3 linked regions of the Caenorhabditis elegans genome follow. The protein of the gene in region 3 purifies or fractionates together with the protein of the main gene of each other region. This does not show direct contact. Each region holds a gene or a part of one and is shown on either strand. Other genes may lie near its edges. The genes, in order: icd-1, rpl-4 and rpl-7.

The links.
Region 1: the proteins of rpl-7 (region 3) and icd-1 purify together in Caenorhabditis elegans (affinity purification with mass spectrometry; 2 studies listed by BioGRID, with this or other methods). This does not show direct contact.
Region 2: the proteins of rpl-7 (region 3) and rpl-4 purify together in Caenorhabditis elegans (affinity purification with mass spectrometry; 2 studies listed by BioGRID, with this or other methods). This does not show direct contact.

What each region holds. Positions count from the first base shown.
Region 1 is NC_003280.10:6,586,924-6,590,492, forward strand, and holds icd-1 (Transcription factor BTF3 homolog), read right to left. Parts: upstream 1,733-3,569; 5' UTR 1,718-1,732; coding exon 1,643-1,717; intron 1,599-1,642; coding exon 1,485-1,598; intron 1,439-1,484; coding exon 1,330-1,438; intron 1,281-1,329; coding exon 1,152-1,280; intron 1,103-1,151; coding exon 1,044-1,102; 3' UTR 654-1,043; downstream 1-653. Other genes in the region: C56C10.7 (putative trafficking protein particle complex subunit 13 homolog), read right to left, coding at 158-242, 290-458, 504-555; vps-32.1 (Charged multivesicular body protein 4b), read left to right, coding at 2,788-2,925, 3,207-3,335, 3,393-3,569.
Region 2 is NC_003279.8:4,645,161-4,648,772, reverse strand, and holds rpl-4 (Large ribosomal subunit protein uL4), read left to right. Parts: upstream 1-1,809; 5' UTR 1,810-1,815; coding exon 1,816-1,987; intron 1,988-1,993; exon of another isoform or gene 1,994-2,047; intron 2,048-2,069; coding exon 2,070-2,332; intron 2,333-2,384; coding exon 2,385-2,492; intron 2,493-2,541; coding exon 2,542-3,036; 3' UTR 3,037-3,111; downstream 3,112-3,612. Other genes in the region: B0041.5 (Solute carrier family 35 member F5), read left to right, coding at 32-333; B0041.8 (Plus3 domain-containing protein), read right to left, coding at 654-842, 892-1,160, 1,208-1,349; lmd-2 (LysM domain-containing protein), read right to left, coding at 3,148-3,420, 3,469-3,588.
Region 3 is NC_003279.8:109,027-112,800, reverse strand, and holds rpl-7 (Large ribosomal subunit protein uL30), read right to left. Parts: upstream 1,764-3,774; 5' UTR 1,747-1,763; coding exon 1,736-1,746; intron 1,641-1,735; coding exon 1,541-1,640; intron 1,515-1,540; exon of another isoform or gene 1,365-1,514; intron 1,292-1,364; coding exon 1,094-1,291; intron 1,047-1,093; coding exon 830-1,046; intron 783-829; coding exon 574-782; 3' UTR 529-573; downstream 1-528. Other genes in the region: F53G12.9 (GST_C_6 domain-containing protein), read right to left, coding at 1-101, 149-274, 320-436; Ras-related protein rab-11.1, read left to right, coding at 2,757-2,796, 2,845-2,966, 3,018-3,309, 3,355-3,536. UniProt on the Caenorhabditis elegans protein: Binds to G-rich structures in 28S rRNA and in mRNAs. Plays a regulatory role in the translation apparatus; inhibits cell-free translation of mRNAs.

The sequences.
Region 1 (3,569 bases), on a different chromosome or scaffold from region 3:
AATTTGAATTATTTTATCATTAATTTGAGTTTTCGTTTTAATATAAAAAAACTATGAAAATCGATAAATTCCGCAGCAACCAGTTTGAATTTCCAGTGAGCGAAGAAATTTAATTTTTTTTTACTTTTTATCTTAAAAAATGAGTCCATTTACTTACTTTTAGGCTCACACTAGAGACAGTCTTCTCGCTTTCGTTTACAACATTTACATAGAAAGTAAACGTCTCTCCCAGATAGATATTTCTGAAACGAAACGGTTTTTTAAACAGCGCCTTGATCAATCGACTCACTCGAACATTTGTGGTGCAATCAAATATTCGCCGATTGGAAGATCTTGTCGAGATTCTTTCGATATTTCTGAAACTTTTCCAGCGAGAAGTTCACCGAATCCTGTAGGATCGACGGGATCGTGGGAGAAACCATCGACAGGAGCAAATTTTGGACGAGCCAATCTCATAACTAAAATCGAAGCTATGATTGATTAATGATGAGAACTAAAATTACCCCGCAGAGCAAGAAGCTGTTGTGAAGAAGAACTTGCAGGATTGTCAGCCATTGTCCTGATTTATAAATAATTAGCTTTCCGCCGGGATGAAATCACAGTATAACTTTTCGGAATTTCTAACCTTACAAAATATTCTTTCGAGCTGGAATATTTGTGCAACTTTTATTGAGTTTAACAAAATGGAAGTCAGTGGAAAACTACCCAAAATAACGGAAAATAAACACCGAGGAACAGATATTACTAGAAGGATCCCCGGAACCCCTAAGAATTCAAAATCATCGGAACGTAGAAAGCTTGCTTTAAATACATAGCTAACATTTATTAGCCATTTGAGGATCGGGAATAAATTTGTATACAAAACAAGTATAACAACGAACACTAATGGGGGCGGAAAAAAAGGTGACAGAGCAAGTATTTTTTTAAAGAGATTCATTGAAATCGATCAACAGTAACAAGAAAAATGGGATATACTAATGCGGATGCTATCCGTACCGTTCATCTCACAAAACTCGCGAATTGGTCGATGAAAGGGTAGTGATTTATTGCTCATCGGCTTTCGTCTCGTTCTTTGAGGCGGCGTCGAAGTCTCCAACAAGTTCTGAAAAATGAACCTGTTATTTAAAAAAAATCTTTTATGATTTTCCAACCTGGCACATCTTCGTCCTCTCCCTTTCCATCTGGTCCGAGCTTGGTAACGTTGTTGGCAAGTTTCTTGAGGTGGGTGAGGGACTCTGGACCGAGTTGGTTGAGGATTCCTGGGAGCATTTCAGTGATCTCTGCAAAATATGTAAGGTTAAAAACATTCAGCCAATGAGCAATACTTACGCTTGTTATCGGCTGATCCTGTGACAGAGAAGGTATTGGCTGGAACAGAGGTTTGGACTTTTGGGTTGTTGAAGTGGATAACGGTTCCATCGTCCTTAATCATGTTGACCTGAAAAGTTACAGAAATTAAATTAATACTTTAAATCAAAGTTTACCTCCTCGATTCCTGGAATGTTGGTGACAGAGAGTTTCTTCAAGTTGCTTTGAAGCTTCTTGTCATCGGCAGCAGCGGTCTTGTGGATGACCTTCTTCTTTCTGCGTGGAGTTCCCTGAAAGAAATAGGAGAGATAAAATTATAAATTTAAATATTTACCTTTCCTCCAATTCTGACATGCTCCTGTTGAGCTTGGAGCTTCTTGATTCTCTCCGCAATAGCCTTGCTATCCATTTTTGGAAGGATTACCTGAAGACGAAAAATATAATTAAAGACGTGAAAACGTGAGAACAAAAAGGATAAAGCCAGTTAAGAATATTTATTCCTAAAATAACAAAGGGACGGGGAAAATGCGGACAAACGCGAAAAACGGAAATGTAAGTTTATCAATCGAATCAGTTTTAGCCTAAATTCAGGCACGGAAACGAATACACCTACGAGATCGACAGAAAATTATGAAAATGGTGTAAACAATAATGAAATAGAATCTAAAAAGATAGAAAGAAGTCAAAAACAATGAAATTCAGAAAAAATCACCGAAACGGTAGAAAATTTTTTCGCGAGACCCGAACATTCCGTGCGTATGTGCCCCTTGCTTTAAAATTTCTTGATATAGGGGTAAGGGGCACATACGCAGAATCTGGCTTGCTGCCAGTCGTTTTCCTCTCACCCTCTCTGTCTCGTCGTTTCTCATACTCCTTTCTTTCTCTATTTCTCTATATCTCGCTTCATCATTAAAATGTCAAAGCTATTTCGCAATTTTCTCGCTGTCTCGTTCTGCCATACCATGAATCACAAGGGTTTCTGGGCTTTATTTAAGTTGTGAAATTCTAGTTTAGAAACTCCTTCTTTCCTCATTTTCTTTTGAATTTTCTTTTCAATTCACTACCCTTTCCCGCAACGTACTTATCGCAATCTTTCATTCGAAGCAATGCCTTCTTAACGTGCTCCGTGTTTCGCCAGCTCGCTGTTAATCGATCGCCGCTCCGGCAATTGTCGTTTTGTTTGTATTAAATCTCCATAGCAATTCTCTCAAAGGCGGGCCATTGCTATATTGCTAGTAAAACAAGTTCCCAATTTTACTTTTCAATACATTCTTTGACTGATGTATCATGTGATCTCTTTTTTGTTCTTCTCGATTACACTATCTAAAAATGATGACGTATTTGCTTCGCGCCTATTTGGTTGAAGTGATGATTCATCCATTGATTGTCGTCTCCACTTGTGCTTTTTTCCTACGTCCTACCACTTCCTTTTAAGCGTTTTGTATATTCGCTTTTTCATTTATTTTTTTTTTGCAGAAAATGAGCCTGTTCGGCAAAATTTTCGGAGGCAGGAAGCAAGAAGCTCCGTCTACTCCACAAGAATCTATTCAAAAACTTCGGGAAACAGAGGAGATGCTTGAGAAGAAACAAGAATTCTTGGAGAAAAAAGTTATCGACGTAGGTTGGAAGATAATTTTTAAGAACAGGACCATTAATAAGTGTTTGTGCTGAAATCTAAATTTGTAAACTATCTGTTTGTGACGTAATTAAAACATTGCTCAGCATTTGGATTGTTGACTGACGTCAAATCAAATTTTAGTCGAGAAAAGTTAAAAAAGATTTTCTGATAGGATACATTTGGGAAATTGGAATCATAGTTTTATAATTCCAGTTTCCAACAAAAAATAATATTCTAAAATTAACATCAAATTTCGGACATTTAATTGAGAAACTTTCAGGAAAAGCAAAATGCCGTGAAGTATGGAACGAAAAACAAGCGAATGGCTCTCCAGTGTTTGAATAGAAAGAGAAATTTCGAGAAGCAGTTGGCCCATATTGACGGAGTTTTGTCTACTATCGGATATCAGGTTGGTATATAAGGGAAATATTATAAAAATTAATTGAACAGCACGGTTTTTTTCCAGAGAGAAGCCCTCGAAAATGCTTCAACGAATGCTGAAGTTCTCAATGTTATGGGAACTGCTAGCAAGGCGTTGAAAGCGGCTCATAACAACATGGATATCGACCAAGTTCATGATTTGATGGAAGACATAGCTGAGCAACAAGAAGTGGCAAACGAAATCGCTGAAGCTATTTCAAAC
Region 2 (3,612 bases), 4.5 Mb from region 3:
TTTTTAATATTAATTTTTTTTTTAATTTCAGGAACAATTGTCGCTGATTACCTTTGGCTTCTTGCCGCTGGAATGTGTGATTCTCTCACCACCTGCCTATCAATGACTGTAAGCATTCCTCTGTCATTCCTCGCCGATACAGTGATTCGAAGCAAAGCTCCAACACTGGCACAAGTTATTGCATCGATTCCGATCCTCGTGGCATTCGTTGGCGCTGCATATGCACAAAATCCGTCAACTTCAATACGAAAAGGGCTTTCAAAACGAGTACGAAAAGTGGAATCATTATCGCCGGACAATGAACATCTTATGGATAGTCTATCGGACGAGTAGCATCTCTCTTAGAAACATTGTTTAAACTCTCTCAGAATCTCTATTTTCTCTTGTTCTACTGGTCGCTTTATAGGCATTCGAAGGTTGTGACACACTCCCCTCTGATCAACTAGTCATATTTAATTTTTTTTGCACTGTATTAAATTCGGGAAAAATAAATGTTTGAAGAAATATCGTTTTATGTTACTTTTATAAACTTGATATTTATCAGACAATTCAGATCGTTCAGTAAATCGGAAGTGAAAATTAATACAGCGTTGGCTTTTTGGTTTTGTGATCAACCCGGCATATTACTAGTAATTTAACGATTAATATTAAAATTATGCCACAAAGCGAGCTTTGGTGTCTTGTCCTGGAACATCAATGAATATTCCTCTTGCAGATGACTCAAAAATCTTGACATTCGCTTTACGCTTTCCATGTTGTTCCTGATCGAATGAATCCAATTCCGGAGTGTAACGGTTTTTGGGATAGTAGCGAGCTAGAGTGTTGTAGGCGGATTTCGGAGTCTGAAAATAAAATGATTGTTTTTAATTTCAAAATAAATTATCAACTTACCAAACTAATTTCCTTTCCAATGACCGTCCCAACTGGAAGATCAGTAAGTTTCACAGATGCCAGACAATTTGAGCGCATACACTCCAGAACCATCATACGATCGGGACGTCCTGGATCAACAACTCGAAGCATTCGGCATCCACAATGAGAGCATTGTTCTTCTGAAAACATACTGGTGTTCGAATCATCGTCCATTTTTCTTTTCGCATTTCTTCGAAATCCTGATGATTCAACTGACGATGTCGACGGTGTTGTGGAAATTATCTCACCTGAAAACTCAATTATTTAACAAAACATATTATTGTAAAACACATACCAACTGTTTCAACGTCGTTCAATTTTCTCAGCGTATCCTCATTTACACGGAAATTTTTCATCTGTGCCGCTTTCCGCAATAATTCCATTCGCTTGTAGTCGATTTTCACGAGAGGAAAGAATGTTGATGTAGAAGACAGCATCTATCCCAAACACTTATGTATTGAAACAAGTAAAAACACAATTAAACTATTTGAAAACGTTTTTAAGCAAGAAAATGGAAGGATCGGGTTTGAAATCAGCGGATACCGCGCCCTCGTAAATTGACACAAGTTGCCTGCCGACATTTCGTCTCATCGCGGCGAGACCCCGACGTTGGATACTCAGCCAATACCCTAATTTTTGCCTCCCTTTAAACACGATTTCCCTGTTTTCTGAAATTTTTTAGGAACTTTTTTCGTTTTTTCAATATAAAAAAGATTTTCGGTGATATTTTCACATTTGGAATGTATTAAAATAAGGTTTTGAATATCCTAAGCCTGTTTCGGTCGAAAAATCTGAATATTGCCTAAAATATCATCATTTTTTCTTTACTCTTCTCGCATTTTTTGAATCATTTTCTTTTAAAATTAATCTATTTTTTACTATTTCTGTTGATTGCAGGTAATAATGGCGGCCAGACCGCTCGTGACTGTGTACGATGAAAAGTACGAGGCCACTCAATCTCAAATCCGGCTCCCAGCCGTTTTCCGTACTCCAATCCGCCCAGACTTGGTGAGCTTCATCGCCGATCAGGTCCGCAGAAACAGAAGACAGGCCCATGCCGTTAACACCAAGGCCGGTAAGTGACATAATTAGATTCGGTTATTGATTATTTTAATTTCAAACTAACTTCTGTGTTCCTCAATTACTATTTATTTCAGGAAAGCAACACTCTGCTGAGTCCTGGGGAACTGGACGTGCCGTTGCCCGTATTCCACGTGTTCGCGGAGGAGGTACCCACCGTTCCGGACAGGGAGCTTTCGGAAATATGTGCCGTGGAGGACACATGTTCGCCCCACTCAAGGTGTTCCGCCGCTGGCACCGCAACGTCAACATTGCCCAGAAGAGATACGCTGTTTCCTCAGCTATTGCTGCCTCCGGAATCCCAGCTCTTCTCCAAGCTCGTGGACACGTCATCGATCAAGTAAGTAAACTTTTTTAAAAGTTTTGTTCCTATTTACAGTACTATTTTTTAGGTCGCTGAGGTCCCACTTGTTGTTTCCGACAAGGTCGAAAGCTTCCGCAAGACCAAGGAGGCCGTCGTCTTCCTCCGTCGCTCCCACTTGTGGGCTGATATCGAGAAGGTATACCATTTAAAAAAATTAAATTTGTTTTTAACGTAACAGTTTTAAGGTTTACAACTCGAAGAGAAACCGCGCCGGAAAGGGAAAGCTCCGCAACCGTCAACACAAGCAGAAGCTCGGACCAGTTGTTATCTACGGACAAGATGCTGAGTGCGCTCGTGCCTTCCGCAACATCCCAGGAGTCGATGTCATGAATGTTGAGAGACTCAACCTTCTCAAGCTCGCCCCAGGAGGACATCTCGGACGTCTTATCATCTGGACCGAGTCTGCCTTCAAGAAGCTTGATACCATCTACGGAACCACCGTTGCCAACTCTTCTCAACTCAAGAAGGGATGGTCTGTCCCACTCCCAATCATGGCCAACTCCGACTTCTCCCGCATCATCCGTTCCGAAGAGGTCGTTAAGGCTATCAGAGCTCCAAAGAAGAACCCAGTGCTTCCAAAGGTCCACCGCAACCCACTCAAGAAGAGAACCCTCTTGTACAAGTTGAACCCATATGCTTCTATCCTCCGCAAGGCTTCAAAGGCCAACGTGAAGAAATAAGTATTCTGTTGTTGATAAACTTTTTTGTTAATAACCGATTTAATTTGTTGAACGCATTGTTTAAATTTCCAGAACGATTTACTTTGACAACAGATTTATTTCAAAAATAATTTAAATATGATCATAAGCTGAGCTGCTAGGGTTATCACATTTCCGAAACGATTTGATGTTCCGATCTATGCGCTGTAAAATATCTTTCATAGATTTTTCTTCTCGGCTACTGTCGACCCGTTCAGTAGTGGCAGGCACAATTTTGCATTGAGTTTCTTGCAAAGATGGTTTGAGATTAGGTTGTTGTGAATTGAAAATGGGTATTCTAATGAATTGCTTCATGAACAAGGCGCTGGGAGACCAAAGCTTGTTTGCACGAACGAGAGATGAAACCTGAAATCGTACATGAACAACAGATAAGGAGAAACAAATGGAACCAACCGAACAATTATGCTTTAATGCTATTCTTTCAAGTGTATCATCGGTTTGAACTTGGTAAATTGTATATGAACATGGTGTAACTGGTGAAGATTGACTTTGGGTTGTGCCGTATCTTCGAACCTGTAGAATCACATTTTAAATGTG
Region 3 (3,774 bases):
TGGCCTCGCGAGTAGGCGAGCATCCAAGTAAGCTCGTCGAGCAAAGCGCTCAATGCGAGAGCCTGTGCTCGCTCTTTTGGAGTCAGGCCCGAGTCCAGAGACTGGAAGAATATTTAAGCTTTTTCTAAAATTCTAGTTTTAAGCCAACTTTTCCATATTTGGCGAGCAGATAATCAAGTCCTTCCATCAAATTTTTGAAGAAATACCCATCGACATCAATCAATGGGTATAGGTGCTCACGAGGGAGTACATTGTAGAGAGAACATTGCGTTGTCTGGATTTAAATCTGGACTATGTTTATTAACCTAAATGCTCTCACTTCATAGGGAATTAGCTTGCTCCGAAGAAAAGTTTCTAGAAATAAACAGGATGGAGCATAGTAGGGAACAGTGACTGTTCTCGGGAGAGTAGTCAGCAAAGCGGTTTTACGATTCATCTGAATGATGAGACGCTTCATGAAATGCGAGATGAGTCGAGCCAAGACGATCACGTTTCATGATTATTTATGCACATAATTAAACAACGTCAAACAATAACGATTTATCCGGAAGGAAGGTATGAACAACAAACAAGTTAGACCATTTTTCGGAGAAGGTTGTTGATTTGATCTTCTCTGTTTCCGAAGTCTCCTCCTTCAACGAAGTGGTTGGTCTTCTTGGTCCATCCTCCAGTTGGGTTGTTGAGCTTGAAGGGCCACAAGAAGTTGGTGGCCTCCTTGAAGTGTGGTCCGACGGTGGCGATCTCGTGGGCCAAATCCTCAAGACAGATGATGTTGAACTTTCCTGAAAACAATTAAATAAGAATTAAAAAGCATAAGTTTTCAAATTACCGAGGCTCTGCTCGACGATGGTGTTGTCGGTGATTGGGACACGGTTTCCGTCAACCTTGGCGTATCCGCGCTTGTAGAGGAGATCGTGGATGGTCTTGTTGTTTGGATAACCCCAAGCTACGTATGGCTCGATGATACGGAGAAGTGGAAGAGTAGCCTTGTTCAGCTTGACGAACACTCCGTTGTTGATCTGACGAAGACGGAGGATCTGGAGAGCCTGAAAACAAAGAATGGTTATTAAAAAACTCATTAACACAATTTCACCTTTCTTGGCTTTGGATGAAGCTGGTTGATACCGCGAATTCTGACGACGAAGGCGACCTTGTGCTCAGCTGGAACGTAGAAGTCTCCCTTGGCCTCAGCCTCGCGCTTGAGTCTGAGTCCTTCCTTTTGGGCGTTTCTGTACTCCTGGACGTATTTCTCAGCACGCTTGAAGTATTGGGTCTTCTTCTCCTTGTTCTTCTGTAAAAAATTTTATTTTTAATGCAGGATTAGTTCAAATTAATTTTCAAACACCTAAAAGAAAATTTAAACTTTAAAATTTCGAATTGTCATCGTGTTATTGAGACGCATTCTGAATTGAATACACCTCACCCAAAAACAAGATAATTCTTATAGCTCAGTTTTGACGGCTGGCTTGGATAATAGTGGATCCTAAAACCAGTGCTTTTGAAGAGCATTTTCTGTTTTCTGACAGTTAAATAAACTTACAGCGGCGACGGTCACCTTGTGTTGAGCAGCCTTGGTGCGGGCATCGGCTCTCTGCTTTCTGCGCTTGAGCACAGTTTCTGGAACCTGTGGCACTTTCTTTCTGAAAAACCAAGAATTAATATCAAAATTGAAGTATTTGAAAGTCAGGCCTAAAAGTAAATTTCAATCTAATATAAATTTATAAAGAAAACTTACGTTGGAGCCATTATAGGCGATTGATTACCTGGAAAATCAAAATATTAATCAGAAAAGAAAATTATAAGATATTGAAACAGAGGAGCAAGTTTTCAAAACTAAATTATTTCAGTATTTTTCGAATGTTCAGCATTTTCTTCACGAAAACTATAAAAAACGCGTATCAGAATTACGGGAAATTAGTTCTAAAATTTATTCTGATGAAAATTTAAGAAAATCAATGAAAAATGCTCTGAAAAAACGGAAAAATTCGTTAGGCCAAAAAGAAAAAAATGTAAAATTGAGATTCCGTTGCGCCGCTGCGAAAGGGGTACGGTAGTTGTCGTGCCGAGACCCGAGGAGGCTTGCGCTGCGGCTAGCGTCGCGTACCCTCAGACCGACGTGGCTGCGCCGGTGCGCCTGACCTGTTTTACGTTCGATTTTATGGGTTTCACACGCATTTCGCGTTCGGAAAAGCTTATTCTGGATGTTCACAGCCATAAAACTAATTATTTTTTTCAATTTTTAGCTGAAATTATCAAAAAAGAACACCCAGAGAAAGCTTTCCCTTGTTAAAAATATCCTGTTCAACTATTTCGAAATCGTGTCGACAAACAAAGTTCGGCCGCTCACCTTCCCTTTTTCGGGTATGATAAGCCTCAAATACTCTTTCATAACACACTTCTATATACATTTTCACATTTTTCTTCTGACTAACCACCCTCATATATTGATAAAATTCAATATAAAACTCCCAACTCCATATACTTTGAATCATTCTTAAATCAAGTTCACTTATATTTTTTCAATCCCCGTCGAGATAGACAACCGGTTCCTGACTCCGCGTTTGTGTCGGGAACAGAACATAAAAATATTCTCCGCCGATAAAACAGTGTCTCGTTCTTTTAATATCGATTTTACAACAAAACATTGCGCCCGGCTGATGAATCATGTGACCAATGCCCTTTTTCTTTTTTACAATCGTCCCAATATATACACAACTTTCAAACAAGCTTTATCATTTTACAGCTCAGCAGTAAAGATGGGCTCTCGTGACGATGAATACGACTACTTGTTCAAGGGTAATTTTGTTTTTCATTTTTCAATTCCCAAACGAAAAATTGTTTCAGTTGTTCTGATTGGAGACTCAGGCGTCGGAAAGTCGAATCTCCTGTCTCGTTTCACAAGAAATGAGTTCAACTTGGAATCAAAATCAACAATCGGAGTCGAGTTTGCCACGAGAAGCATCTCGGTGAGGAACTTCATTAGAATACACTTATGATTCAAATTATTATTTTTGTAGGTAGAAGGCAAGACAGTGAAGGCTCAAATTTGGGATACTGCTGGACAGGAACGTTACCGTGCCATCACATCCGCTTACTATCGTGGGGCTGTCGGAGCTCTCCTAGTCTACGACATCGCTAAGCATGTGACGTACGAGAATGTTGAGCGATGGTTGAAGGAGCTTCGTGATCACGCCGATCAGAACATTGTGATTATGTTGGTCGGAAACAAGAGCGACTTGCGCCATTTGCGTGCAGTTCCAACAGACGAGGCCAAGATCTACGCCGAAAGAAATCAATTGTCGTTTATTGGTAAGTTAAACTAATCTATTGCGTTTATATATTTTTTTTTTTCAGAAACATCTGCCCTCGACAGCACCAACGTTGAAGCAGCTTTCACTAATATCCTGACGGAAATCTACAAATCAGTATCCAACAAGCATGTAGGAACTGACAGACAAGGATATGGCGGTGGCAGTGGTACAATCATTCCTTCGCCAGCGTCCGACCCACCAAAGAAGCAGTGTTGCATCCCATAAATCACATCGTGTTTTTTTTTTTCAGTCTAACGTGTGTATTTTTCGAAATGCCTTGTCCATTTAATTTACTGCCCCCGAAATCCAAATGATTCGCTCTTAACATCCGCGAGTTTTATCGAATTCTTGCAAGCACTGCGTTTGCAAGTCTTCACCGTTTTGGTGTGTAGTATTTGTAACTTTCTTTCAGATTTATTTGTAATTGCCTCCATCCCCACCCCTTCCCCCTCCCCCCCCTCCG